6 linked regions of the Oryzias latipes genome follow. The protein of the gene in region 1 purifies or fractionates together with the protein of each later gene. This does not show direct contact. Links are inferred from orthologs where the notes say so. Each region holds a gene or a part of one and is shown in the gene's direction. Other genes may lie near its edges.

What was found.
Region 2: the proteins of slc39a4 (region 1) and golm1 purify together in Homo sapiens (affinity purification with mass spectrometry; 3 studies listed by BioGRID and IntAct, counting the BioPlex papers as one, with this or other methods). This does not show direct contact. The link is inferred for Oryzias latipes from reciprocal best matches to the Homo sapiens genes SLC39A4 and GOLM1.
Region 3: the proteins of slc39a4 (region 1) and vps45 purify together in Homo sapiens (affinity purification with mass spectrometry; 3 studies listed by BioGRID and IntAct, counting the BioPlex papers as one, with this or other methods). This does not show direct contact. The link is inferred for Oryzias latipes from reciprocal best matches to the Homo sapiens genes SLC39A4 and VPS45.
Region 4: the proteins of slc39a4 (region 1) and abcb10 purify together in Homo sapiens (affinity purification with mass spectrometry; 3 studies listed by BioGRID and IntAct, counting the BioPlex papers as one, with this or other methods). This does not show direct contact. The link is inferred for Oryzias latipes from reciprocal best matches to the Homo sapiens genes SLC39A4 and ABCB10.
Region 5: the proteins of slc39a4 (region 1) and letmd1 purify together in Homo sapiens (affinity purification with mass spectrometry; 3 studies listed by BioGRID and IntAct, counting the BioPlex papers as one, with this or other methods). This does not show direct contact. The link is inferred for Oryzias latipes from reciprocal best matches to the Homo sapiens genes SLC39A4 and LETMD1.
Region 6: the proteins of slc39a4 (region 1) and agpat4 purify together in Homo sapiens (affinity purification with mass spectrometry; 3 studies listed by BioGRID and IntAct, with this or other methods). This does not show direct contact. The link is inferred for Oryzias latipes from reciprocal best matches to the Homo sapiens genes SLC39A4 and AGPAT4.

The regions. Positions count from the first base shown.
Region 1 is NC_019869.2:286,592-290,717, forward strand, and holds the start of slc39a4 (zinc transporter ZIP4), read left to right. Parts: upstream 1-1,326; 5' UTR 1,327-1,786; intron 1,787-1,892; exon of another isoform or gene 1,893-1,964; 5' UTR 1,965-2,273; intron 2,274-2,433; 5' UTR 2,434-2,457; coding exon 2,458-2,620; intron 2,621-2,694; coding exon 2,695-2,858; intron 2,859-2,961; coding exon 2,962-3,139; intron 3,140-4,063; coding exon 4,064-4,126. UniProt on the Homo sapiens protein: Selective transporter that mediates the uptake of Zn(2+). Plays an essential role for dietary zinc uptake from small intestine. The Zn(2+) uniporter activity is regulated by zinc availability.
Region 2 is NC_019867.2:11,007,772-11,011,271, reverse strand, and holds part of golm1 (Golgi membrane protein 1), read left to right. Parts: coding exon 1-69; intron 70-196; coding exon 197-251; intron 252-337; coding exon 338-440; intron 441-1,289; coding exon 1,290-1,413; intron 1,414-2,477; coding exon 2,478-2,619; intron 2,620-2,733; coding exon 2,734-2,952; intron 2,953-3,087; coding exon 3,088-3,252; intron 3,253-3,424; coding exon 3,425-3,500.
Region 3 is NC_019869.2:4,532,289-4,536,230, reverse strand, and holds the start of vps45 (vacuolar protein sorting-associated protein 45), read left to right. Parts: upstream 1-1,142; 5' UTR 1,143-1,319; coding exon 1,320-1,412; intron 1,413-1,888; coding exon 1,889-2,023; intron 2,024-2,095; coding exon 2,096-2,156; intron 2,157-2,355; coding exon 2,356-2,435; intron 2,436-3,348; coding exon 3,349-3,417; intron 3,418-3,509; coding exon 3,510-3,647; intron 3,648-3,942. UniProt on the Homo sapiens protein: May play a role in vesicle-mediated protein trafficking from the Golgi stack through the trans-Golgi network.
Region 4 is NC_019861.2:24,520,858-24,524,956, reverse strand, and holds the start of abcb10 (ATP-binding cassette sub-family B member 10, mitochondrial), read left to right. Parts: upstream 1-1,299; 5' UTR 1,300-1,885; coding exon 1,886-2,303; intron 2,304-3,549; coding exon 3,550-3,756; intron 3,757-4,099.
Region 5 is NC_019865.2:22,147,943-22,152,059, reverse strand, and holds the start of letmd1 (LETM1 domain-containing protein 1), read left to right. Parts: upstream 1-1,317; 5' UTR 1,318-1,343; coding exon 1,344-1,459; intron 1,460-1,725; coding exon 1,726-1,892; intron 1,893-3,169; coding exon 3,170-3,285; intron 3,286-4,117. UniProt on the Homo sapiens protein: Plays an essential role for mitochondrial structure and function, as well as thermogenesis of brown adipocytes.
Region 6 is NC_019873.2:25,316,689-25,320,674, reverse strand, and holds the start of agpat4 (1-acyl-sn-glycerol-3-phosphate acyltransferase delta), read left to right. Parts: upstream 1-1,186; 5' UTR 1,187-1,350; intron 1,351-1,711; 5' UTR 1,712-1,724; coding exon 1,725-1,902; intron 1,903-2,027; coding exon 2,028-2,197; intron 2,198-2,291; coding exon 2,292-2,453; intron 2,454-2,541; coding exon 2,542-2,695; intron 2,696-2,775; coding exon 2,776-2,878; intron 2,879-2,961; coding exon 2,962-3,037; intron 3,038-3,129; coding exon 3,130-3,328; intron 3,329-3,694; coding exon 3,695-3,795; 3' UTR 3,796-3,824; exon of another isoform or gene 3,825-3,905; 3' UTR 3,906-3,986. UniProt on the Homo sapiens protein: Converts 1-acyl-sn-glycerol-3-phosphate (lysophosphatidic acid or LPA) into 1,2-diacyl-sn-glycerol-3-phosphate (phosphatidic acid or PA) by incorporating an acyl moiety at the sn-2 position of the glycerol backbone.

The DNA.
Region 1 (4,126 bases):
CAGGCCTTTTCACAATAAAAGCCTGGCTATTCCTCCTTTACTTTGAAAGTCTGCTGGTTTCAGATGTGCAGCAGAGCTGTTGGCTGCAGGTCACCTTTTTCAGGGCAGACAGGTATGGAGGAGCACGAGCCACGTCTCAGCCAATCACAGGCCAGAGTGTGGAGACCGCAGAGGTTCCTCACAGTGATATAAGTGAAGCTGAGATAAATGCCCGCACTGCATTCCTCTCCACCTTCATCACTGATGAGCTCCAGCATGTTCTCCTTAAGCAGGCTGCTCGTGACGGTTCTGTGTTCGGGCCCGGTTCTGCTCGGTTCCGTCGGGGCCACCCCCGCGGTGGAGGGCGCGTACGAGGCCGTGGTCCGCGTGCTGGCCCCGGGACAGCAGCATCTGACGGAGCGCTCCGTCCGCGCGCTCTTTAAGGCGCTGCAGGCGCGTGTGCAGTGCGGCGGAGTGCCGTGTGGAAAGGTAGGTTTTATTGATGCCCGCGAGCCCAGGTGCAGCCAGGTGAGGCCAAGCACGGCCAGAGTCAGGCTGCCGAACCGAGCTGTTATCGGAACCGAACAAAAGAGGTTTAGGACTTAGTGGTGTTTGGTTCTTCCTGCAGTCAGAGAACTTAGATCGTTCTGGTTCATGAAGGTCCTTTAGAAAAGAATCCAAACTCTTTTAGTTCTGATGATCCAGAGCCGTCAGTCAGTCAGTCAGTCAGTCAGTCCAGCTGCTCTTGTAGTTTTTAAATGTTTATCTTTACTAAAACTGTCAGCCAGTTGAACTCAGAAAGTTGACAGATTTGAACCAAAAGAGGTTCTGAACGTTTTTCCTTCTGTTATCAGGAGTCACAGTTAACAGAGTCTTTTTTCTGAGGACTGGATGTGAATCTTTTCATTTTTCCTGAAATAATATAAACCAAATCCATGGCTGGAATGATGGATTATGAATTATGAAATGAGATGTTTTATTAGGCTCTGGTCTTTTCTGCCCCTCCACTCTACAAAAAAGCTGGAAATAAAAAAAACTCCTTCCTCTGAATATGTTTAAATCCAGGCTGATGGAGGACAAAGTCACCCGTTTTACATGAGCTCTCATTTTGATTTATTTAAGTTTGAAATGTTTACATTTTTACTGTAAATGTAACGTATTGTTTTAGCCAGGACTCGCGTGAAAAAGAGATTCTTCATCTCAGTGGGACATTTCCTCTAAAGAAAGGTTAAATAAAATACAAATAAAAAAGATCTCATTTCAGCGTTGTCATGGTGACCACACAGGCATCATGGGGCTTCGTCTAGAAAACTCTGCAGACGTCATCAGAAAAGCCATTTGGTTTGTGGGACGCGGTTATGCAACCCTCATCTTATCAGTAGGAGCAAAGTTCCTGAGCTTCTTCAGAACTGCAGAACCGACAAAAAGCTGCTGCAGGGCAGCAAAGGAAGAAAGGAGTGAGAATGACTTCAGCTGGACAGTGAAGGAATGCGATGAAAGAATTCCTCTACGGGTCGCGGCGTGCTGCTCGGGTCAGACGGGCCGTCGCTCCAAAGCCTCCATGAAATCCTCTCAGTTCTTCCTTCAGAGGACAGAAGAACCAAAACCTTCCAGGAGTTTCCTCCACGGAACGCTTCAGAGCAATAAAACAAACCCCAGAGAGCCGTTCCTCAACAGAAATGAAACAATAAAGGAAAGTTTCTGTTCTAAAACCAGGAAAATGTCGGAATTCCTTGGAAGAGATCAAAGAAATCAGTTGGAATGATTTAGTGAAACATTTTGTTCTACATTTGTAGATAATCTCCAGGTCAGCAGAGATGTTTTCAGGGTTTTATCGTTGTGTTTTCTTTCCCTCCGTTCTTTTCTTATCTGCCTTTATGGTGAAATCTTTCTGTCCAGTTAAATGAACAGAAACGTTTTTCATATGTGTTCAGACCTCCTCACTCTGGACGTTTCTTGACGTTCTGTCTGTGGCTGTTGTTCAGTGTGATCTGGACGGCGCCGTTCACCAGCTCGTCGGCAACAGCTCCGCCCACACGCTGGAGGAAGGCGGGAAGAGCGGCAGAACCTTCACGGTCGGCGCGTCTCAGTTTCCCGCTCTGGCAGCCGGCAGCGTCCTCTTCCTGTCCTCTCCTGACCTGGTCTGCGCCGCGGCGAAGGACGGGAGGTGGGCGGAGGAGACCGAGCGTTTTCTGCACACGTACACGCTGGGCGACCACGGTGACATCAGCATTTATGCTCTGGAGGATCTGCTGCAGGAGCTGCAGAGTCACTATGAAGCTGCTGAGAATCAGGTAGAACACAGAGATGATGCAAACGCTGATTCCAGCAGCTCAGGTTCTGTTCTGAAGGTCCGATCATTCCTGAGGACAGAGGACGCGGGCGGAGAAACCGTCACACTAAGTGGAAGCTGCATTCACCTGTTTGATCCTTCTGTGTCACCATGGTAACCAGAGCTGTGCAACAGCCAGCAGCATCATGCAGGAAGCTGAGGCGTCGCCGGAAGTGGGCGTGGTCCTGGGCCGCGTGCTGACCCACGCTCTGCTAGGACACTGCTTCAGCGCTCATCCTCTGCCTGAGGAGAGCTTCTTCCTGGACTTCATCATGGATCACGTGGGCTCAGAGAACTTTACCGTTGAAGGTAAGGATAGTTGAAACCGGTCACTTATTACATCATCACACGCGTGTCCTTCTGAACATGCTTCCCTCCTGCAGCTCTGGAGAATCTCATGATGGTGCTGAACATTGGATCAGGAGAAGATCATGAGCATGCATTCATGCTTGATGACCATGAGAGCCACCATCATCATCATCATGAACAGAAAGGTCGGAGGAAGAGGAGCAGTGAAAAGCATGAAGCCAACGCCACCTGGGAGCATGTAGGTACCTGGACCAAACACGGGACTGAAGGCTGCCGGACTCTGTCTGAAGATCTTTGGGTTCCGTTTGAGTTCATCCATACTTTCTCTTTTCCCGTCTCAGCGCTGTTTCTCTGCTGGGGAACTGCTTCAGATCCACGGTCTGACTGGCTCCGCCCACTCCGGAATGGGTCGGTCTGAGGTGGTCCGCCTCAGTCCTGCTTTCATCCAGCAGATCCTCAGTGGAGCGTGTGCAGAGGCGACCGAACCGGAAACACAAGACGGACTCACAGAGGCTGAGAGTGAGTCTGTTACCATGACGACAGAGGGGGTTCCACTTACCGATGAGTCATTGGTTCTGTAAGAACCACAAGATTTGGGGAACTTGGATGTTCTTTTTTACCAAATGTTTCTGTCAAAGACCCTCAGAACGGTTTAGGGTTGGTTGTTGGTTTGATTCCCTGAATCAATGAACCATGATTCCCTTATGGCTATAAACTTCGGATGAACTCATTGAATCCTTGAATCCTTGAATCCATTAATCCTTGACTCCATGAATCCATGACTCTTTAAATCCACGACTCCATGAATCCATGAATCCTTAAATCCTTGAATCCTTAAATCCATCACTCCATGAATCCATGACTCGTTGAATCCATGAACCCTTCAGCCTTCAGAACCCTAATGTTACTTTTTTTCTGGGTTTTTCTTTAAAACACTTTGGAACTCTAACATCCTGCTGGTCTCTTACAAGCCACAAATCAAAAGCTTTTATTATTCTTTAGAAAATCAAAGTAAAAAATTCCTGTCAATATAACAGTACTCTCAGATAACTTTTAGGGATCAATAAAACGATTGAAAAGACTTAAAGCAAACATCCCAATATTTCAAGTTCTCTTGCTTTAGTTTAATAAACGGAGGTGAAGCAGAAGATTGTGAGATAGATGCTACATAATTCTCCATTCAGTGACATTTCTTTAGTCCAGTCTAACAGAGACTTGATGATCGTATTGATTATTTACATGTTTGTAATAAATCCAATCTCATCTACTGACACTCAACTCTTAAAGCTACCAGACAAACACATTCAGGCTGGTTTTTTACCTTTATTTAGTTGTTGTGTCCTCCACCATGAACAGGGTCAGTGTGCACGTGTCAGATGAGGTTTTCCTTTGCGTCTAGAGAGTTTGATTTACCCATCATGCTTTGCCCTTTCCTTCTTGCAGGATACCTCTATGCCACTGTGGCCAACGTGGTGATAACGCTGGTGTCCATGCTCGGCATCGTTC
Region 2 (3,500 bases), on another chromosome or scaffold:
ATTGCTCAAATCGAAAACTTTTACAAGAAGAAGCTGGAGGGAGTTCAGACCACCTGCAGCCAAGAGCAGGTGAACACCAGCATCATTCTGAGCTGAAACTGAGAATTCTAGGGCTTCGGAAAATGTTTGGAATCCGAGCAACAATAGGATCCTGAACTGTCAAACTGCTGTAATGTCGCTCCATCGTGTCTTTTAGGCCACAATGCAGCAGAATGTTTCCTTCAGTACCAGAACCATAGAGGACCTCAAAGGTAACTTTGAAACCACTTTTTTCTTGTCTCATTCTTTGTTTCCTATTTTAACATACTATCCCACCTTGTTTTTTCCTGTCCTATAGTTCAACTGAATCAGTTAAATGATGACTTGGGGAAGGTCCAGAAGGAGTTGCAAAACTGCAAAGACAACGTTGAAACACTGGACAAAAAACTCACATTTGACATGTAAGCCGAAGAAATATTACGCGGAAGGCCTTTTCCATGTATTTTATTTTTACTTCATATGGTTCAGTCTGACAACATTCATACTCTCTGCAAACAGACACAATGAAAATGCTGCAGGAACTTGTTTAGTTATGTAGATAATCATTACTTGTATTCACCGAAATGGAAAGTAGATGTGTTTGGCCTCCAGAACACTATGTCTACACAATCTCCTGCTGCGTTCGCTCACACAGTAAAGCTTGCAATTGAATTTCCAGAACAAAAGACCCCTGTACTCCGCCCGCCTGTTTCATAAATGTCCCAAACGTCTGACAGACAGGATGGAGACTTGAATGGATCTTAACTTTATTTCAGGGGAAAAGTAGTTTTCTGGCACAAATTTTAGACACGAGACATTTTCCATCTGAAAGAGAAAAATACTTAAGAAAAATAAAAATAAAACACAGAGTAAAACACACGTACTACCACAGACCTGATTTCCTGTTTTCTGATTTCCTGTCTTCATAATTTAGGTCGTGCTATTTGTAAAACTCGAACGTTTTTTTCATCAAACTGTGTAGAGATGTTCATCAATGTTATTCAAGGTGTAGATTTTTATTAATTTTTAATATTTTATTTTAAAAAATGTTAATTCTATGCTTTACAAAATAAAAAGCGGTCATGATTATTTAAGTTAAGAGACTTTTTAAATTTTAAAAACATGCAGTTTTTTTGTTTAATATTTTGGGGTTCGTTTTCTCCAGAAAAACTGCCTCATTGTTTCTCTCTTTTGCTAGTAGTTGCTTAAGCCTTTACACCCTTTCACACTTCAGTCCAGGTGAACACAGGTGTGTGGGTTCATGTCTGCAGGGCTCACTGTCAGTCCCAGGTCCTTTCTCAGAAAGAGCTGTGCGACGACCGAGTGGCCAAGGCGACGCTTGAAGTCCAGAAGAGGATGGAGAAGCTCATCTCACCTGAAGCGGGCATCTCACCGGTGAGTTGGTTTACATGAGTAACATTGTAAGACTGCATCTCCTCATGACTTCAAATAGATTTTCTGTTGAGCCTCAGAATAAAGTTAGCCCAAAATGCTCGTTCAAAAATTGGGTTGAAGTCTCTTAGCTGAAAAAAGCTTTAAGCTGTGCTGCTTAGATATGGGGAATTTCTCAGAATGTGTTTTGTCATAAGATTTTAAAAAGTTGCAGAAATTAGAATCAAACATAAACTCAGATAAAATCCCTTAACTTTTTTTTTTTTTTTTAAGCATAGTTTGGTAGCAATTTTACAACACGTTTAATGCCAATTAATAAACTACCGTATTTTCCGGACTATAAGTCGCACCGGAGTATAAGTCGCACCAGCCCAAAAATGCATTATAAAGTAGAAAAAAACACAGATAAGTCGCACTGGACTATAAGTCGCATTTTAACTTTCACAACCTTATATGACACAATCATAGCAGACTGTTTATCTCATAATTTCACAGTAATTTTTTTCTCAAACTTATTTATTTATTCTTTTCATGAAGCATCATTGGCTAACTAATACTCTGTTTTCATCCTGTATTTGTAGAAACAGTTTTCACTTTTATTGCATTTCCGAATCTATGAAATCATTGGAAAATAGAATATTATGTTGTTAGCCTTCAAGATCTTACTGTAAAAAAAAGTTTGCTGATTCTCTGAGTCACTTAACATACTCTTAACACTTAACATACCTCATACATCAAATTGACCCAGGAACATCATCTCTGTTCCTCACAAATGAACATAACAGGAGGGTTAACAATGTATTTATTTCAATTTATTTCTAATATAAGTCGCTGCGGAGTATAAGTCGCACCCCTTGCCAAGCTATGAAAAAAAGGGCGACTTATAGTCCGGAAAATACGGTAATGCTTTTCTTTTGTGCATCTCAAAAGTTGGTGCATTTTTTAAAGATTTTAACTTCTGTACATTAGGTGATACCCCATCCTTCAGCAAGGATTTTTGCAGATTTTCTTACTTGTTTTGTCTTTTGAATTTAAAGGAAATACATTTTATTTTCCTTGCAATGCAGGAAAACAAAGTTAAAGAAGAACTGCAAGAAAACTCAACTGTTGTATTGGTGCCAGAAGCTGAAAGCCACACTTCTATCATCTCTCAGCCCAAACTCAATGCAACTTTGGAGCTCCAAACCAATGAAATTATCACCGACAGAGGTATACAAGGGAGAATACTTTCAATTTGTTGTATACTTGTCTTAATGCACTCAATGCAGTTTAGCGTGAAGTTTGAAATGTCACCATTTTTTTCCCCACCTTTTTGTTTTTTAGGCTCTGATGCCTCACTAAGCAGACAGCAGGACAAGAACCTCCTGACAGCGCCTTTACAGTCTGTTCCGCCTGCTGCTGGACTCAATGAAGTAGAGCTGTCAAAAAATGAAGACCTCACAAAGGACAAGGCCGAGGCAGATGAGGTTAAACCTGTAAGCCTGTCTGACAATAATAAAATGGAGGTGATGAACATTCATGACGAGGAAGCCCAGATTGAAGGTATAAAACTCCCGGGATGAAGAAAAACATCAATTAAGGTTTCTTTAAACTAATGCTCCCATAGTGTTAGGTGTCAGATTTACTTTTATCTACATTGCTGGACAGTTCCAACAAAATGCAAATTTTGCTTCTTAGAAGTCGACCCAGGGCTGGAAAACATGCTGATTAGTCAGGAGAAGGCAGAGGATCGTCCGGTTGGTCAGAGGCCTGAGGAACAAGACGAGTATGACGCAGAGGAGCAAGAAGTGGATGGAGTGGATATGGAGAAAGAAAACCAGAGTATGCTGACTGAAAACCTTGGTATGTGTTTGTTTCTCAATTTACATTTTTAAAAAAAGCAAACAAGAGCACAACTGCAGCTTAAACCCCTTACTTTGTAATACAGTTGGAAGACACTCTGAGGAAAAGGATGTATTTGTTGAAAGCGTGAACGTTTGTCTCATGCTTGTTGACACTTTTCACTTTTTGTTAGACAAAGACATGGACGAAGATCCGGCCGACTACAACGGAGACGATGAAAACGAGGGAGAGTTTGAAGCAGACAAACA
Region 3 (3,942 bases), about 4.2 Mb from region 1:
AATGTGATCATAATATACTGACATTTATAGATATCTATTCCTCCGTTTTAAATAGTAGTATTTAAATTTGAGAGACGTATATGTTTATTTAGCAAGCAAAATCTATAAATATACAGGTTTATTTAGGTTTCTTCAGCAGACAATGGTGATCAGTCAAACTAACCATAAATACAAGAATGTGACATTGTTGTGGTTTTAACATTTGTGCTTTAAGTAAAAACATTTTTTGATTATACATTTAGTGTACTTATTAAGAGTTTTTGTCGTGTTGTTGCAGAAACCCACACCTTAAGTCCTATCAGTTTAGGAAAAATAATAGTTATTAAACTAATAACACATGCAAATGTTAATATTTCATTGTTAACATTTTTAGGCTACGTTTAAAATAGTATTTTGAAGAAATCTATTTCATGTTTCTATCTTGTTGTACTTTATTTTGGAATCTGGACAGTATTAGCATCATGCTAACAATTGTGAGCCTTTTGTTTTCAACTAATATTTAGTCAGTGGTAATGTCTATTGGCAAAATATATGCTAGATTTAGTCATTTTTACTAGAAAGAAAAAAATCAATGTGTGTTACTTATGGATCAAACAACAGATGACTTTTTACTTTAATTTGCTATTTACGTTTTTGGCCTTCATTTATAGTTGATACTATATGAATTGATTTTTTTGGTAGGATTTAAGCCAATGTATGTCCATATTATAACATCTATTGCTTTAAAACCTGCCTTTAATTAGATATTTACAAAGTAGGCTCACTTTGTTGGCAAAAGGAAGCTGAGAGACAGGATCAGAGGAGGATAAAGGATTATGGAAAAGCTAAGGTTTATGGATGTAACTTAGTAAAGACCATAAAGGCAGTTAGTGTAAGTGAAAAACATCTGAAAACATCAGCAATCCATTGAAAGAAAACAAGAAAATTTAATTGTATGTTTATTTAATTGAAAACCTTAAAGCTTTAAATGATTTAAATGTTGCCAAAATTCCAAGTTTTAATGTAAAAAAAAAAACCCGCACATGTTAAATTAATTCTTCCACGAAAAACGAAGAAATGAGGAAAAAACACCATCGTTAACATTTTAAAACAAGTCCCAGAAGAACTGCTCGGTTCGTCCCTCCCACTTTACAACGCACGACGTGATGACGTCACCAAACCAGGAAAAGACTTTCAGTGTTGTCACAACAGCTCAGTCCTCCTCATAGCACCCCAGAAAATCCCTCAAACGGAGCGACACAGACTCTTGGAGGCTGCTGCTGTTTTTTTTCTTCCTGGTTGATTCGTTTTCACGGTTGTTGTGCGTCAGCGAGGCCATCATGAACGTGACGCTCGCGGTGAAGCAGTACATCTCGAAAATGATCGAGAGCAGCGGGCCCGGAATGAAGGTGCTGCTCATGGACAAAGAGACGGTGGGACAATCAATGACACTTTTACTCCTGTCGTTCTGTCATATTATACTGTTGCCTCACGTGACTATTGTCCTCCTGCTTCCTGTGAGATGTTGTCACTCCTTTGTTTCACTTGGTATTTGTTCTCTTATGCTAACACAGGAGTTAGTGTACAGTTTTAATGATAAACTTAAACAAAAGTAAATAAATGTAAACGTTAATGGCTTTGTTTTTCAAATGAGTCATGTTTGTAAATAAGAGCATTCCAGATCCAGACCGCAGCATCCTCTCCATGCTGAAATTCCCTCCAGTCAGGCACCGGACGGTCAACAGCTGACCATACTGGAGATGAAAACAAGATTTAACAGCAACTGGAACCACATAAAAGCCACATATTTAGCTCTGTTGCTCGTCTCACTAAATGCATATTTCTTTTTATTTTTATTTTTTGGCTATGACATGCAGTTTGAACTGAATCTACCCGTGTTGTGTGTCAGACCAGTATAGTCAGTGTGGTGTACACGCAGTCCGAGATCCTGCAGAAGGAAGTTTACTTGTTCGAGCGGATCGACTCTCAGAGCAGAGACAGCATGAAGCACCTGAAGGCCATTTGCTTCCTCCGTCCCACTAAGGTACAAAACCAGCAGACAGTTTGTTGTTTTTTGTGGAAAGTGTCTTAACGTTCTGTCCTGTTCTGTGTGCAGGAGAACGTTCAGCATCTAATCCAGGAGCTGAGGAGGCCCAAATACAGCATCTACTTCATCTGTGTGTTAAATGTTTATCTGTTGAGAGTTCAGGCAGTCAGTTATTTTCTTTTGCTTCCAGAATAAAAAAAAAATATTAAAGCAAAAAACTCAAAATAACTAAAAATGACTTGACGCAAGAAACAAATGATTAAAAAAGATTAGATGTATGCAAAATGAAATAAGACTCCTCACTAAGCTCCTATTTTCTTGTGTTTCAGACTTCAGTAACGTGATCAGTAAGAGTGAGATCAAAGTTCTGGCTGAGGCGGATGAACAGGAGGTGGTGGCTGAGGTCCAGGTGAGCGTCGGCTCCTACTTGGTGTTTTAAATCTTCAATTTATTGGACATATTTCTCCCCTCATTACAATCCATCTGTACGTTTCAATAACTGGAAATAACCCTTTATTTGGTGTCTTAGCTGTTATTGACTGTGTAACAAAAGTAACTATTAAGTGGCAACAAATCCTTTTAAAGACCTACTCTGATGAAAATCATGTTTGTGGTGCTTTAATCACGTTCTTGTTGCATTTTTCTGATGACGGAGGACACAAATTAAGAAAATTAAGATTAAAATGGCATTTTTTAAGTATTTCTTTAGTCTAATTGTTGTGAATCGGGAGCAAAAGAAAGAAAAAGATCATAAATGCTACTTAGAAAACACGCTGGGCGAGCCACATACACAAACTAATGGTCAAATAATTCCATGTATGTCTTCATTTTTCTTGTCCGAGCTGGAAACTCCAAACGGTACGGCTGAATAGCTCCGATATCGCTCGCCGTTGTTGCTACAGTGTTAAACTGGGGTGTGAGGGGCTGTAAGCTAGCAGGACAACATGTAAACAGGTGGATGATGGCTCCGCCCACAACTCGGAGGCGAATTTCACCACAGGAAACACTTTTGAAATGCATGAGAACCAGAGTGGGACTTTAAAAGATTAGAATACCACAGTTACTACATCAAATTGCCCGTAAAAAAAACTTCTGTTCTATAACAAACACCAGAAATGATGACAGTCTGGAACAACATCAGTGGATGCATTAATACGCTTCTAACTCATTTGTTTATCATAAACACACTTGGAACAATCTTATTTTTTTTTACATCAAAGTTTTTATAAAAATTCTGCATCTCAGTGTTTTAGGTTGTATTTCTGCAGCTCAGAAAGAATCTTAAAGTTCAGATCCAGGAAGATCTTTTTGTGTTTTTCCAGGAGTTTTATGGAGATTTCATCGCTGTGAACCCTCACCTGTTCTCCCTCAACCTGCAGGGAGTCGCTAGAGTAAGCTTTCCTTTTTTTAGCTGCTTGGCCTCACATGACAGATTTGGTTTGCTAAATGAGGATAAAAGTGCATCTCTTTGTTCGTTCGTCAGGGGCGGAGCTGGGAACCCTCCATGTTGAGTCGCTGCACTCAGGGTCTGACATCCGTTCTTCTGGCTCTGAAGAAATGTCCAATGATCCGCTACCAGCTGTCCTCAGACATGTCCAAACGCCTCGCGGAAAGTGTCAAGGTTTACAGAGAAATGACAGCCCATTACCCCACATTCTCACCAAAATGACATTATAATCGGAAGTTTTCAAATCATTTTTAGAAAGAAGTCTTAAAAAGCGGAACTTTAGCCTTCATACTTTGCTGTTTTTCACTAGTAATTGTTCAATAAAGGAAAAATTCAATACTTAAATATTTATAAAAAAAGTACTTTGGATTGTTCTTCATTTAAATAATGTTAAAAAATAAAATTTATAAATAAAAAAAGTTGATTTAGTTTTAGTTTGATGATTCTCTAAGCAGCAACAGTTTGTCAC
Region 4 (4,099 bases), on another chromosome or scaffold:
AACTTTAAGACAGAACAGGCTGTGCAAGCGTTCTGAATTCAGCATACAAACCATCAGGTGTAACTTAAATGTTGAGCTACAAATAAAACTCACAGAATACATGATTTCACTCAAAAGATTCCATTTAGAAACAATAATGTGTTTAAAAGTGGTGGACAAACCAGTGTCCAAATCTTTCAAAGTTTGCCTTTGTGTTTGTCTCTTACCCGTAACCGAGCTACACGTTTTTACGCTAACAGACAGAAAGCTACTTTGTTGCTTTCTAACAAACCAACGACCTGCTTTTTGGTTTTTCTGAAAACACACCTCATCAGGCCACAAAATAAATGATCTATTATAGTTACAGTAAATGTTTTTATAATAAATATGACTCACAAATGTGCTCCTGCTCCGCACGTGTCTCCTGTTTTCAGCCGTATGAACTTTCACCCCGCCTGCCAGTCAAAAGCAATCAAAAGGCGAAACCATCGATATTACTTTTTTTTTTTCTACTTTGTCAGTATTTCTGATCATGTCTATTCTATTTTTTACTTTTTTATATTATCAAAATATGCCATACTGCCAAGTATTTATTTTGGTTACAACAAACTGTTAATAAACATATTATTTCCCTTACAAATGATGCCACAAATATAAGGGACATGCAATTGGGATGTTGTTAGTGCTTGCCCCATAGTGAATGATTTATCAGATACCATTAACTAACTAACAGAATTTGGGAGTGGGAAGGATGAAGCGACCTTCCAGAAGTATTTACAACTTCATTTTACACTCGTGTTAAGTGTAAAAAAATGGGTTGAAAAATGGGATCCAACTGACAGCAGTGTCTGATCCTGGTGACTGGCACGAGGATGTGCCAAGTTGGTGTGAGGACACCTCTGCATACTTCTTCCACATTGCTCCCTTTTGTTAGATGAATAAATTCTTAAATTGAGGTCTTCATTCTTGAAATTTCATCATCTTGTCTACTAAACACCAAGTTAAAGCCAATGACAGAAACTGCTGTCAGGAGTTGGTGGAGAAGGGTCTGCTAATTTTTCACCCACATTAATAGTTCTGCTGCTCATCCCACTGATACATTTTCCCTCCAAATATGACGCAATTAAAATTATATGACAATAACAACAATTCTTTTGTTACAAAATTTTGAACTATTTATCATTATCAGTGATGATCAGCTGTTATATAATTATCATAATAATAATAATAATAATAAATTATTATTATTATTATTGTTGTTATAGGTGCCGATAGTACGATAATGTTTTTTTTGTATTCTATATTATAGTTGACAAGAATGATGCATAAAATTCATTTTACATCAGGTAACTTGGGGAAAACAGAAAACTTTAGATCACTCTGTGATTGATTGGTTTTGCCTGGTGATCTTTCCTTATGTCATCAGCCGTTGAATTCCTCGTCGAGGTGGAGGGACCGTATCTCCCGTTCACTCACACCGAAACAGGGTCACCTTTTCTCTTCCTGTCTTCTCCTCTCCTTCTAGATGTTTTTCGGTTAGTTTTCCGGGGTGGGCCTGAGCCTTAGTGACCCTCGCTGCCGGCCGAGCCTCTGCCCTGCTCCGGGTGACAGCTGACGGGGACAGGCGGGGGTTTGGGAGCTGCTCGCCGATAACAGATAAACTGGGGTTGAAGGCGGCTGTCACGCACTGATAAAGTGCACAATAACCGCCTGAAATCTGGACATGATCGACAACAAACCTCACAGTTGAACGCATCGGGATGCGTTTAGTTGACCTACACGTCTCTTTAGGAGGATATTTCAATTCAACAAACTGGATTTGTGGTCTTTGAGTCTGGATGGGAATATAATCATTTATTGTTAGTTTTTTTTATCATTATTTATTTTAATTTAATCAACTCTAAACATGCGACTTTTGCTCCGCGTGCCGATCTGCACGCGCAGGATGCAGTTGTGTAAATTCAAGCCGACCCAGCCCAGGTTTTGGATGGATTATGGTCCGAGGCTTCCCGCCGCTCCCCGGAGAAAGTCCTCCGTCCATCCCGCACCTGTCTTCTCTCCCTGGGGCAGACCCCTCACCTCTGTCCCGCGCCTCCGTCCGCTGTCGGGTCCCTCGCTCCTCTTCTTCACCCCGGCAGGCCGGGGAAGGGCAGCAGTCCGTCACACACCTGTTGCCTTCGCCAGCTCCTCCTCGGCGGGATCCGCGGAGGTGGAGAAGAACCGGGCGGACGCAGAGGAAGCCCGGCAGCCCCCCACCAGCGTCCCTCTGGAGGATGTCAAACGGATCCTAAGACTCGCTCATCCGGAGAGATGGAGAGTGGCAGGTGGGCTGTTCTGACCCCCCAGCTGCAGATCATAAAAAGCACATCCAAGATGTTATTTTCGGCCATAATTACAGATTCTTCTTTAAAGTACTTTTCTTTTCTTTATGATTGCAATTGCATCCTTTTTGCCGCCAGTCATCATGGATGGCATCACTGCTTTCTCTTTAGAGTGTGACAGTCACACTGATCTGTTTCATCTATAGGGCTGTAAGGGGTAAATCAATCAGTCTGTTCCTACAACCCAATCAGATCTATCTGTCTGAGGAAAGTTGTTAATCCAATCGAGCTATAACATTTGAAATTGTGTCCAAATGAAGTAATAATATTGATTATAAATGAAAAATACCATCTGGATTGAGACGTGGTAGGTTTATTTTACCATAACGTAAAAACGACCATCACAGCAGACAACACACGTGATGACAGCAAAACATGATCAGTTCATCTTTACAGTCTAATGTGTGGAAACACTGAATTTAGAAAAGACATGCGACCACACAGTGTGCTAGAATGTTCTATTAATGTTCCAATATGGATTATTGTGATGTGGAAAAACAACAGAGGGCTGAACTTCAGGAAACTAAACAGTGAATGGATTTGCCATTCACCCTTGTTTAGTTGTTTGTTTGTACACATATGTAGTTTACACTAGACTATCTTTCAGTACCAGGGATTTCTGAGTCACACTGCTCAGATTTTTGGCTAAAGACGTCCTGGATTGATTTTAGCTTAATGAATCGGATCATTCAAAAGGAATCAATATCGACTATGAATCGTAACAGCAATCACAAATTATGAAATGAATTGAATAGTTAAAATACATTGTTACACCTCTCACGTAAACATTTTAGTTAAATTCTGTTTGCCAAGCAGAATATTTATTTCTGTGCTTGATTTAAATATACAAAAGCTTTAAAGAAGAAAATATCACCATGTTTATCACCTGCATAGCCCTTGATGATATTTCACTTTATGTTTGCTATAAACACACTTTTCAGTTTCAGACATATAAGAATTGCTGCTTTTCAAAAAGCAGAAGGAAACTGTTTTTAGGTTTCTGATTCCTACCATTTTAATACCCTGCAATGCTGATTTAACTTTTTTTAAAACGTATCTTACTTTTTTATTGCCTATTATTGTGTAAATTACACTTTTAAATGACCAAAGCCATCTCCGCATCCAGATTGATAAAGAGCTTGTATCTTTTTAGTGATTCTGATCTCGCTTTGCATTCGATTTGACCTAGCTGCTGTTGGCTTCCTGACCGTCTCCAGCACAGTGACCATGTCGGCTCCATTCTTTCTTGGCAAAGTGATAGACACCATTTACAGCACTGGAACCGACATAGAAACGATGACAGCGTCCCTCACATCCCTTTGCATCATGCTGACGGGAGTTTTCCTGTGTGGCGGAGCAGCCAATGCTGCCAGGGTCTACCTCATGGAGGTTTCAGGTGAGAAGAAACCTCAGTGTTGACACTAATCTGTGCAAAATGAACTTTTATTACTCATATCACTGCAAGTTGCGAAGGAAATAAAGGTTAAAATGGAAAATCGAAGCTGTGTAATTGATAAATTAAAAGTAGTTTTATAGAGTCGGGCAGTTTGCTCCGTCAGATTAGACAAGATTCGCTTAAATGGGGTAACACCAGCCCCTCTATCTTTTCTGTTAAACATTTATTTTAGATTCGAACTGCAGATGCATAAATCCTCGCAGCAGGCTGTGGTATTATGGAAAGTGACTTTCTGGGTTACTTTTTGTCAGCCATCACCCAGGTGCAGAAACTTCCTGAAAAT
Region 5 (4,117 bases), on another chromosome or scaffold:
AGTTTGCTCATAAGGAGTGGACCAAAATACCTGTGGACAGGTGCAGAAGGCTCATTAACAAATACAGAAACCGTTTAATTGCAGCGATTGCCTCAAAAGGTTGTGCAACAAAATATTAAGTTATGGGTACCATCATTTTTGTCCAGCCCTATTTCATTAGTTTTTTTTAATAATTCTGTTAATCAACAACTCAAAAGTAATGGCTGATTTTGATTATTTAATTTTCAATAAATTTTAATTTGTTTAGTTTTGACCGTTTCAAGTCATTTCAGTGAGCATTGAGGACTTTTGTTCTTTAACTGAGGGGTACCAACATTTTTGTCCACCACTGCAGGGTTTTGTTGCAATCTCACTTTGAAACAGTGAACAGATGCTTTGATTATTTTTTCCAGCTGAAAAACATATTTTTCCAAACCACAATTCTGTAAATATATGGGAGGAGAACATGGAGTATTTGAAGGAGAACTGCTACACAGAAGTCTAACGCCACTTGGGATGGCTCCATTAACCAATGCAAACTCTGTAGGTGAGACATGCAGATTAGAAACTCAACGTATGACATCATTACCTTGTGGATTAATCAGTTGTGTACAATAGAAATGTTCTTTTCAAATCAATTTTCAAGAATAAATATTCTTGTTTTTGTGTAGAATATCTGCGTTATTCCACATATAGTATATATTCAGAATAATTCAAACCCAACTTTATTTGTAGAGCACCTTTCATTTCGGTTGAAAACACAAAGCGCCCAAAATAAAAGCAAATAAAGTCATAAAAAGTGAAAATTAATTAAAACAGAAAACACAGGACAATCACACACAGATGGGACACCTCTCTCACCAGATTCCTCCCTCTACCCACCCAGTCCCCCCAGTAGAACCCTGGAAAAAAAGTAAGAACTGCAGGTTAAAGAGACAGTCTGGCTTGGCACTGCTGTGCAGAAACGAGATCATGGGGATCCATATGTTCCAAGGACCAGGCCGACCACGCGCCCGCCCAACACAGAGCAGCCTAGGGCCCATCACTCTACAGCTATTAGACCGCAGAACAGGACCCCAGCCGGCTCAATGAGTGAGCGCCGCAGCAACAGCACCCCCTACAGGCGGAGCCGGTAGTTCCTCCTGAAAGATGGATCCACAAGAGGAAACACTGGAGTAATAAAAACGTCAGCACATAAATTATAATAAAATAACAATATTAAAAATAAAGAACAATATTGGGTTAATAATTTCTGAGAGTAGTCCCTCCCACACACACGTCTGTGATCAAATTTTTTGACAAGGGTCGAAAGTGAGTTTTCTCCGAGGACGCCGTGAACGCAGCAGTGACGCTGAGCTGCAGACATGGCGCTGTCCTGTTTGAGGATGTGCCGCCTCCTGTCACCGGTTCGACTGTGTTGTGTCGGTACCAGCAGTTCGACACCTAGCTTTTATCTCTCCAGTCTATCGCATCAGTCCAGGTAATGGTCGTAAAGAACACAATTGTCAACATTTTTACGATTTAGCTTAACTGAATTCGTTTAGCATGTGCTAAGCTAGCTGTTTTATTTTGAAAACGTGTGACCGCACATAACGACCTTTCCAAAACAAAATTAACCTTTTTTGTATTTGTTATAATTAAACTTCAACTATCAGTGGACTCCTCGGCACAGAGACATTACAGTGTTTTACTTGTCATTTGAGTATTTCGTGGTGTTTTATATGAAAGTGTTCCTCTTTCTGTCAGGTCTCCTCTGTGTTACACAGTGTGTAGACACTACACCTCATCCAAAGTTAGACGGGGTCTTGGACGTTTTATTTCTTCCAAGCTCCAGACAGCCAACATAAAATATGAGAGTTTCCTCAAAAGGAGGTTTCCCAGATTCTTTCTGCTGTATCACACTTTCATGGAAGGTAAGTTCCCTCTAGTCACCTCTGAAGTCATTTCTATAGATTTATGATCACATTTGACGACAGAAGACGTCCAACTTTAGATTAGTTTTCCTTTGTTTTATCATTGTTTTCTTAATATATATCTTGTTTTATTATTTATTGAAGGCACATTCTTGTTCAAGAACACAATGTTCAAACTCGTGGTTTCATATAGGGAGCTGCTCACTGGCTTGTAACTACCTGAGGCAGCTTCATTGAAGCAATTAGAGTTTCAGGTCTTGCTCAATGGCAAGGCAGTGGGGGAGACTTCTGAGCATTTGTCCCACATAGGAACTTAAACCACTTCAGTGAAAATCGTGCTTTTGGTGTTTCAAACATGTTCTTGTGGCAGTTCTATCTCAGACATTTAAGCTCAAAATCGCATTTCTGAGTGTTTCTTAATTCAAATCGATGTGAATCAGGAGCAGATGTAAAAATGCCGTTTGGAAAAGCAATGATGTTGAAGTTACAGTCGGCAGGCCACAAGCTTCCTGCTCCGCTCCATTCTGATGCATCCACTTGCAGACAAATAGATCGATGGACGTCTTTGTTTTCCCCGTCTGAGCTGACATTTGGCTCCAAACTGTACGACTATATAGCTCCGGTATTGCTCACCATTTTTATTGCACTGCTAATGTTAGGTTGGGGTCGTAAGGGGGTGTAAGCTAGCAGGATAGAGTATAAACAATGGGACAGAGGGATATCAGCAGAGGCTTACTTTTGTGCCAACAATCCCTCCCACAGTCCACCCACAAAGTTTCTGATGAACTACTGCCGCTCTGCGGAAACTGTCCTAGAAAACGACTTGTCTCCTCTTCAACAAGACCACCAGGAACACTTTTATAATAGATCAAAAGATGATTGAACTTTAAACTATCAACCTCTAGGAAGCAAGACCACGAAAGAACACACATGAAGGGCATTTCCCCCCAGAACTATGTTTGAAAAAAATCTGTGGGCTCGCTTTTACTTCCTAGAAATGTGTCCTAAATTGGCACTTGGTTCAAATCCCAGCTGCGACCTTTTTTATGAAGGTTGCATGTTCTCTCCATACATGCCTGGGTTCTCTTTGGGCACTCCAGCTTCCTACCACAGTCCAAAAACATGTTTTATAGGTTAATTGGTGACTTTGTATGAATGTGAGTGTGTGTGATTGTAGTTGTGTTAAGTTTTGTTGCATTTGTTTTTAGCAGCTTGCTTATAAGGTTTGCAAAAAATTTTGTGTTTATTAAAAATTTTTTATTGCTATCCTCCATTAGGCTTCAAAATGTTGTTCCATGATGCCAAAGAGGTGAAGAGGATAAAAATGAAAATGCTTTATGAAGGTGTAAAGCATCAGGACTTGCCCTACAGGGAGATGGAGAAACTAAGACAGGTGAGTCCTTTTTTCCTAAAACACTTTCAAGGAGTTCATCAGAAATGTGCCTGTATTATTAGATTGGGGCCGTGAGGGGCTGAAAGCTAGTGGGGGGAACATAAAAACAGATGGATGACGGGAAAAGGAGGCGGAGTGTCAACAGTCCCACTTACAATTTAGAGGACAATTTCTAATAAACTCCTGCCGCTCTGCAGAAACTATGTCCTAGAAAACGTTTTTTGATCCGGGCTAAAAACGAGAATCATAATTAAACGACCACTGGGAACGCTTTTACCATATCAAGTTCCTCGCTTATAGAAAACTCAATCCAGGCATAATTATCATCAACATCTTTCCAGTCATTGGCTGAATCTTTTATTTACAATTTGTGTTCATGTAAAATAGAAACAGAAACTGTCACCTTGAAACAAACGTACCAACCACTTAAATAAGCCATGTTGGCCAGCCTGCGCTCACAAAGACAAATTAAATCCTGTTCTGGAGAGTCATAGATTTATGTCAGGACTGAATCTAGCACATTTTCATCCAAACAAATGCCGGACGTCTTTCAAAAATGAGCCTGTTCTCTGTGACGATCAGCCGATGAGAATAAATTGTTGGACATGACAAAACTTGTAGACCGTCTCCTGGCGTCACCTGACAGATTTGAGTGGAAAGTTTCTACACCAAAGGCTTTGATGTAGAAACACAACAACTTAGCTAACTTTAATTCACCTTTCCTCTGAACTCAAATGTGTTAGTGTAAATCACGCAACATCACTTCTGGGATATTTATTTTTTAAAGCTGAGGGTTTTAAAAGCTTAGGCTGTTAGATTTGCGCTTGGAGAG
Region 6 (3,986 bases), on another chromosome or scaffold:
TATTCATTGTGAGATTTTTTTCTACTCTTCTTGTTCTCTATCAGTTCTTCAAGCTGTAGTTAAAATGTTTTTAGTTCAATTCTAATGTTCCAAGAATCCAACTTAGACTGAAGAAAAACATAGCAAACAGCACAACTCATTCGTATTGACATGTTTTCAGTCATTTTAAGAATAATAAAGCATAACCTTGCTTTAAAATCTTTTCTACTTTATTTGCATTTTTATTTTTTATTTTACTGGATTTTCATTCAAAATAATGCTTAAAGTAAAAAATAATAAAAGTAAAGTAAAGTAATTATGCTGTAACAAGCCTAGTGAGACATAATAGCCAAAGTTAAGCTCAATATCTCAATTTTTTTTAATAAAGTAGTCTAAAGTCAAAATCTAAAGAATGTTTTTTTGCATTGGGTCACACGGCCAAAGGGCAGCCATCTTTTTTCAGTCTTCTCACCTTTTTTTATCTACTTTCTGCACGTTCAACTTATCTTCTATTCTTTTGCCTCTAAATTAGAAGTTCACAGAACATAAAAAAAATAATAATAATAATTGCATTTAAAAAAAATGCACCTCTGACATGTCAGCAGCAGCAAGTAAAACATTAAGTGCAACTTATTCTACTTGAATTAAAAAATGGCAAAATCCCAAGAGGTATATTTTAACCAAAACATTTTACCCAATGTTGTAAACATGCATAATAGATCATTAAGATCAAAAGTTGTTGTTAGAAATGACATTTTCAAATAAAACCTTCTAAACTTGAAGCCACTTCTTTGTTTTAGGACATACAATACTAGATCTAAACACTGAATTAATAGCATTTCTTCCTGTAGATTTAAATTGTTTTCTACCTTTATAGTTTATACGTGATTCACATCTTGTTTCATAAGTGCGATAAAGTCATTGAGCTTGCAAAAGATGAACATTTCCTGCAGCTGAACATGGGTAAAACAGAGAATGCTAATTGTGGAAAGCTGACTCACTCTGTCGCGTTTTACGGCAAAAGACAAACCCCAATCATATTATATTATTTTATCCTTTTTAATTTTTATTATGGTTTCCCTCATTTATATTAGTGACTAATGTATTTGTTGTAAATGTAACGAGCAGATGGCATCAGTAACTTGGTTTGGGAGCGGCGCTCTGCGGACAGCCTGAGATGAATAGACGATCTTCGTAGAAGGGCGTGGTGCTCCTCATCGGGAAGTTTCTTCTAGGAGGTGAACCTTCTTACCGTTTAATGAATCACACCTAAAATCTAAAGGACGAAGCGGGGAAGTTTCTTTTATAGAATTAATCTGTGCAGAGAGAGTCTAAAAACGTCAGAGAAAGAATAGCTGCTCATCCGAAACGGTAATATTTCATGTTTTATATCAATGGTTTGCTTAAAATTTGAATGTCAAGTACAACTGTCATAAACGTGCTATAAAAATAAATTAAAGTGAATTATTTGACTTTTGAGTCCAGTTTGACACCACTGGATGACACCACTAGAAGGTTCTTACTGATGTTCAGCTGTATTCTGGCCTGGATGGGTCTTTGGAGAGCTCTGTAACTACAGACTCCCAGCTCAAAGGCTTCTTTCATTTATTCAAACAAGAAAGACTTGTCAGGGATTTTTTTTTAGACAAGTAAATACCAGGATGACCCACAACAGTTGGTATGTAAACAAGAAAATCATGTTTACTTTTAGAGTAAATGTAGTGTTTTTTAGGCTTTCCTGGAGGATGGGGCTGCTGTCCACGCTGAAATCCCTGTTCATCTGCCACCTGATCATCGGCTATGTGTTTCTGGTGAGCGGCCTCCTCATCAACCTGCTTCAGGTGTGCACTTTACCCGTGGGGTTGGTCAGCAAGCAGCTGGCTCGCAGGATCAACATCCGGCTGGGCTACTGCATCGCCAGTCGTGAGTACTCCCTGTCTCTTTTATCCTAGTACATTCTGTCCTCTTTTTTTTGTCCGAATCTGTCCTTCCAGATGATAAGATAACCAACGTGACAATTCTCATGAAAATGCATTTGTGTGTCGCAGAGGTAGTTGCAGTCCTGGAGTGGTGGTCTGGCACGGAATGCACACTTTACACCGACCCAAAAAGCTATCCTCTGTATGGAAAGGAGAACGCGATTGTTCTTCTCAACCATAATTTTGAGATCGACTTTCTGTGTGGCTGGACCTTCTGTGAACGCTTTGGAGTTCTGGGAGTGAGATGGCACAAAGATGAGGAAATGATCTTCGCCGACTTAAACACCACTTAACCCACCCTTCTTGTTTTTGTTTTTTCTTGATACTTTTCAGAGCTCAAAGGTTTTGGCCAAACAGGAGCTGGCATATGTGCCGGTGATTGGCTGGATGTGGTACTTCCTGGAGATAGTTTTCTGCAAGAGGAAGTGGGAAGAGGACCGGAGGTTGGTGGCTCAGAGTCTTCAGAATCTGCGGGATTACCCAGAAAACTACTGGGTGGGTTTTTCGCCTCCCTTTGTAGTTTTTTTTTTTATCAATAAAAGTGATATGTATAAAAAGTTTCTTATATATTTCTTTAAACTAGTTTCTGCTGTTCTGTGAGGGAACACGCTTCACACCAGAGAAACACCAGGCCAGCATGCAAGTGGCTGAGAGTAAAGGCTTACCTAAACTTAAGTACCATCTTCTGCCCAGAACAAAGGGGTTCTGGATGACGGTCCAAAACCTTAGGGGAACTGGTGAGCATCCCTTCTACCTTCAGTCTGGATCCAGTTCCCCCGAAAGCTGCTAACCCCTTCTGTTTGCCTGTCCTGAGCAGTCTCCGCTGTTTATGACTCCACCCTGAACTTCAGGGACAACGAAACGCCAACCATGCTTGGAGTCCTCAATGGGAAGAAGTATCATGCAGATTTATACGTTCGGTAGACAAATATTTGGTATTGTTTGACTTTTGCTCCAATTTAGCTCCAGGTTCTTGATGTTTTGCCTCTGTTTAACTTCACAGGAGAATTCCTCTGGAGTTGATTCCTGAAGAGGAGAAGGAGTGCGCTGCCTGGCTCCACAAACTTTACCAGGAAAAGGTGGGAAAGTGTTCCAACTGAAAGGTTTTAGTGAGTCGCAGGCAGCAGCTCTTTTCAGCCATACATATTTCACTCCGCTGTGTCGTGTACAGGATGAGCTGCAGGGGGCTTATGAAAAGACGGGACTCTTCCCTGGCCCTAAAACGAGTCCTCCCCGTCAGCTGCGGACTCTGATGAACTGGTTGTTCTGGTCCTGTGTGGTTCTCTACCCTCTGGGCCTCATGCTCACTCACGTAATCAGCTCTGGATCGGCGCTTACCATCATCGCCGCTGTGGTGGTCTCCTCAGCAGGTCGGTTTCCTAAATTCACTTTTTCTGAGAACATGAATCGGTCGACTTAATCAATACATTTTTATCCAACATTTCAATAAAGCAGCAGATTTGCCGTCTTCACTGTAAGTTCTTTCTTCCTATTTTACAAACTGGAAACTATCCAGACTTGAGATTTCCAAAATAGAGATGTAGATTCAAACGTATAACTACTTTTTTTTTCTTTTTTAAAAGGCATGACTGTTCAAAAGCTTAAAAGTTTGCCAGATTTTTTCCTAAAAATCTGTAAAAGGTTCACCTGGATCACAATGAGTAGAAAAACCTGAAATTAAACCCCAATAACTTGATTCTTTCTAAATGAACAGGACATCCTTTCTGTTTTTGCAGCGTCGGTGGCTGTTCGGTGGATGATTGGCCAGACTGAGATCGGAAAAGGTTCTAAATATGGTAACAGGGAGGTTCCTCCAAACACCAACGGAAGCAGCTAGGCCTGTGAACTGCTGTCAGACAAGACGAGGTCTGCTCAACAAGTTCCGACCTGCACCCATTCACCTCTGATCCGACTGAAACACACCTAACAGCCTTTTCACTGTTCAAGGGAAACTCAATCGAGCGACGCAAAGATGGACTCCCTCTTTAAGAAGCTACAATACTATCTTTTTACAGTTAAATGCATCAT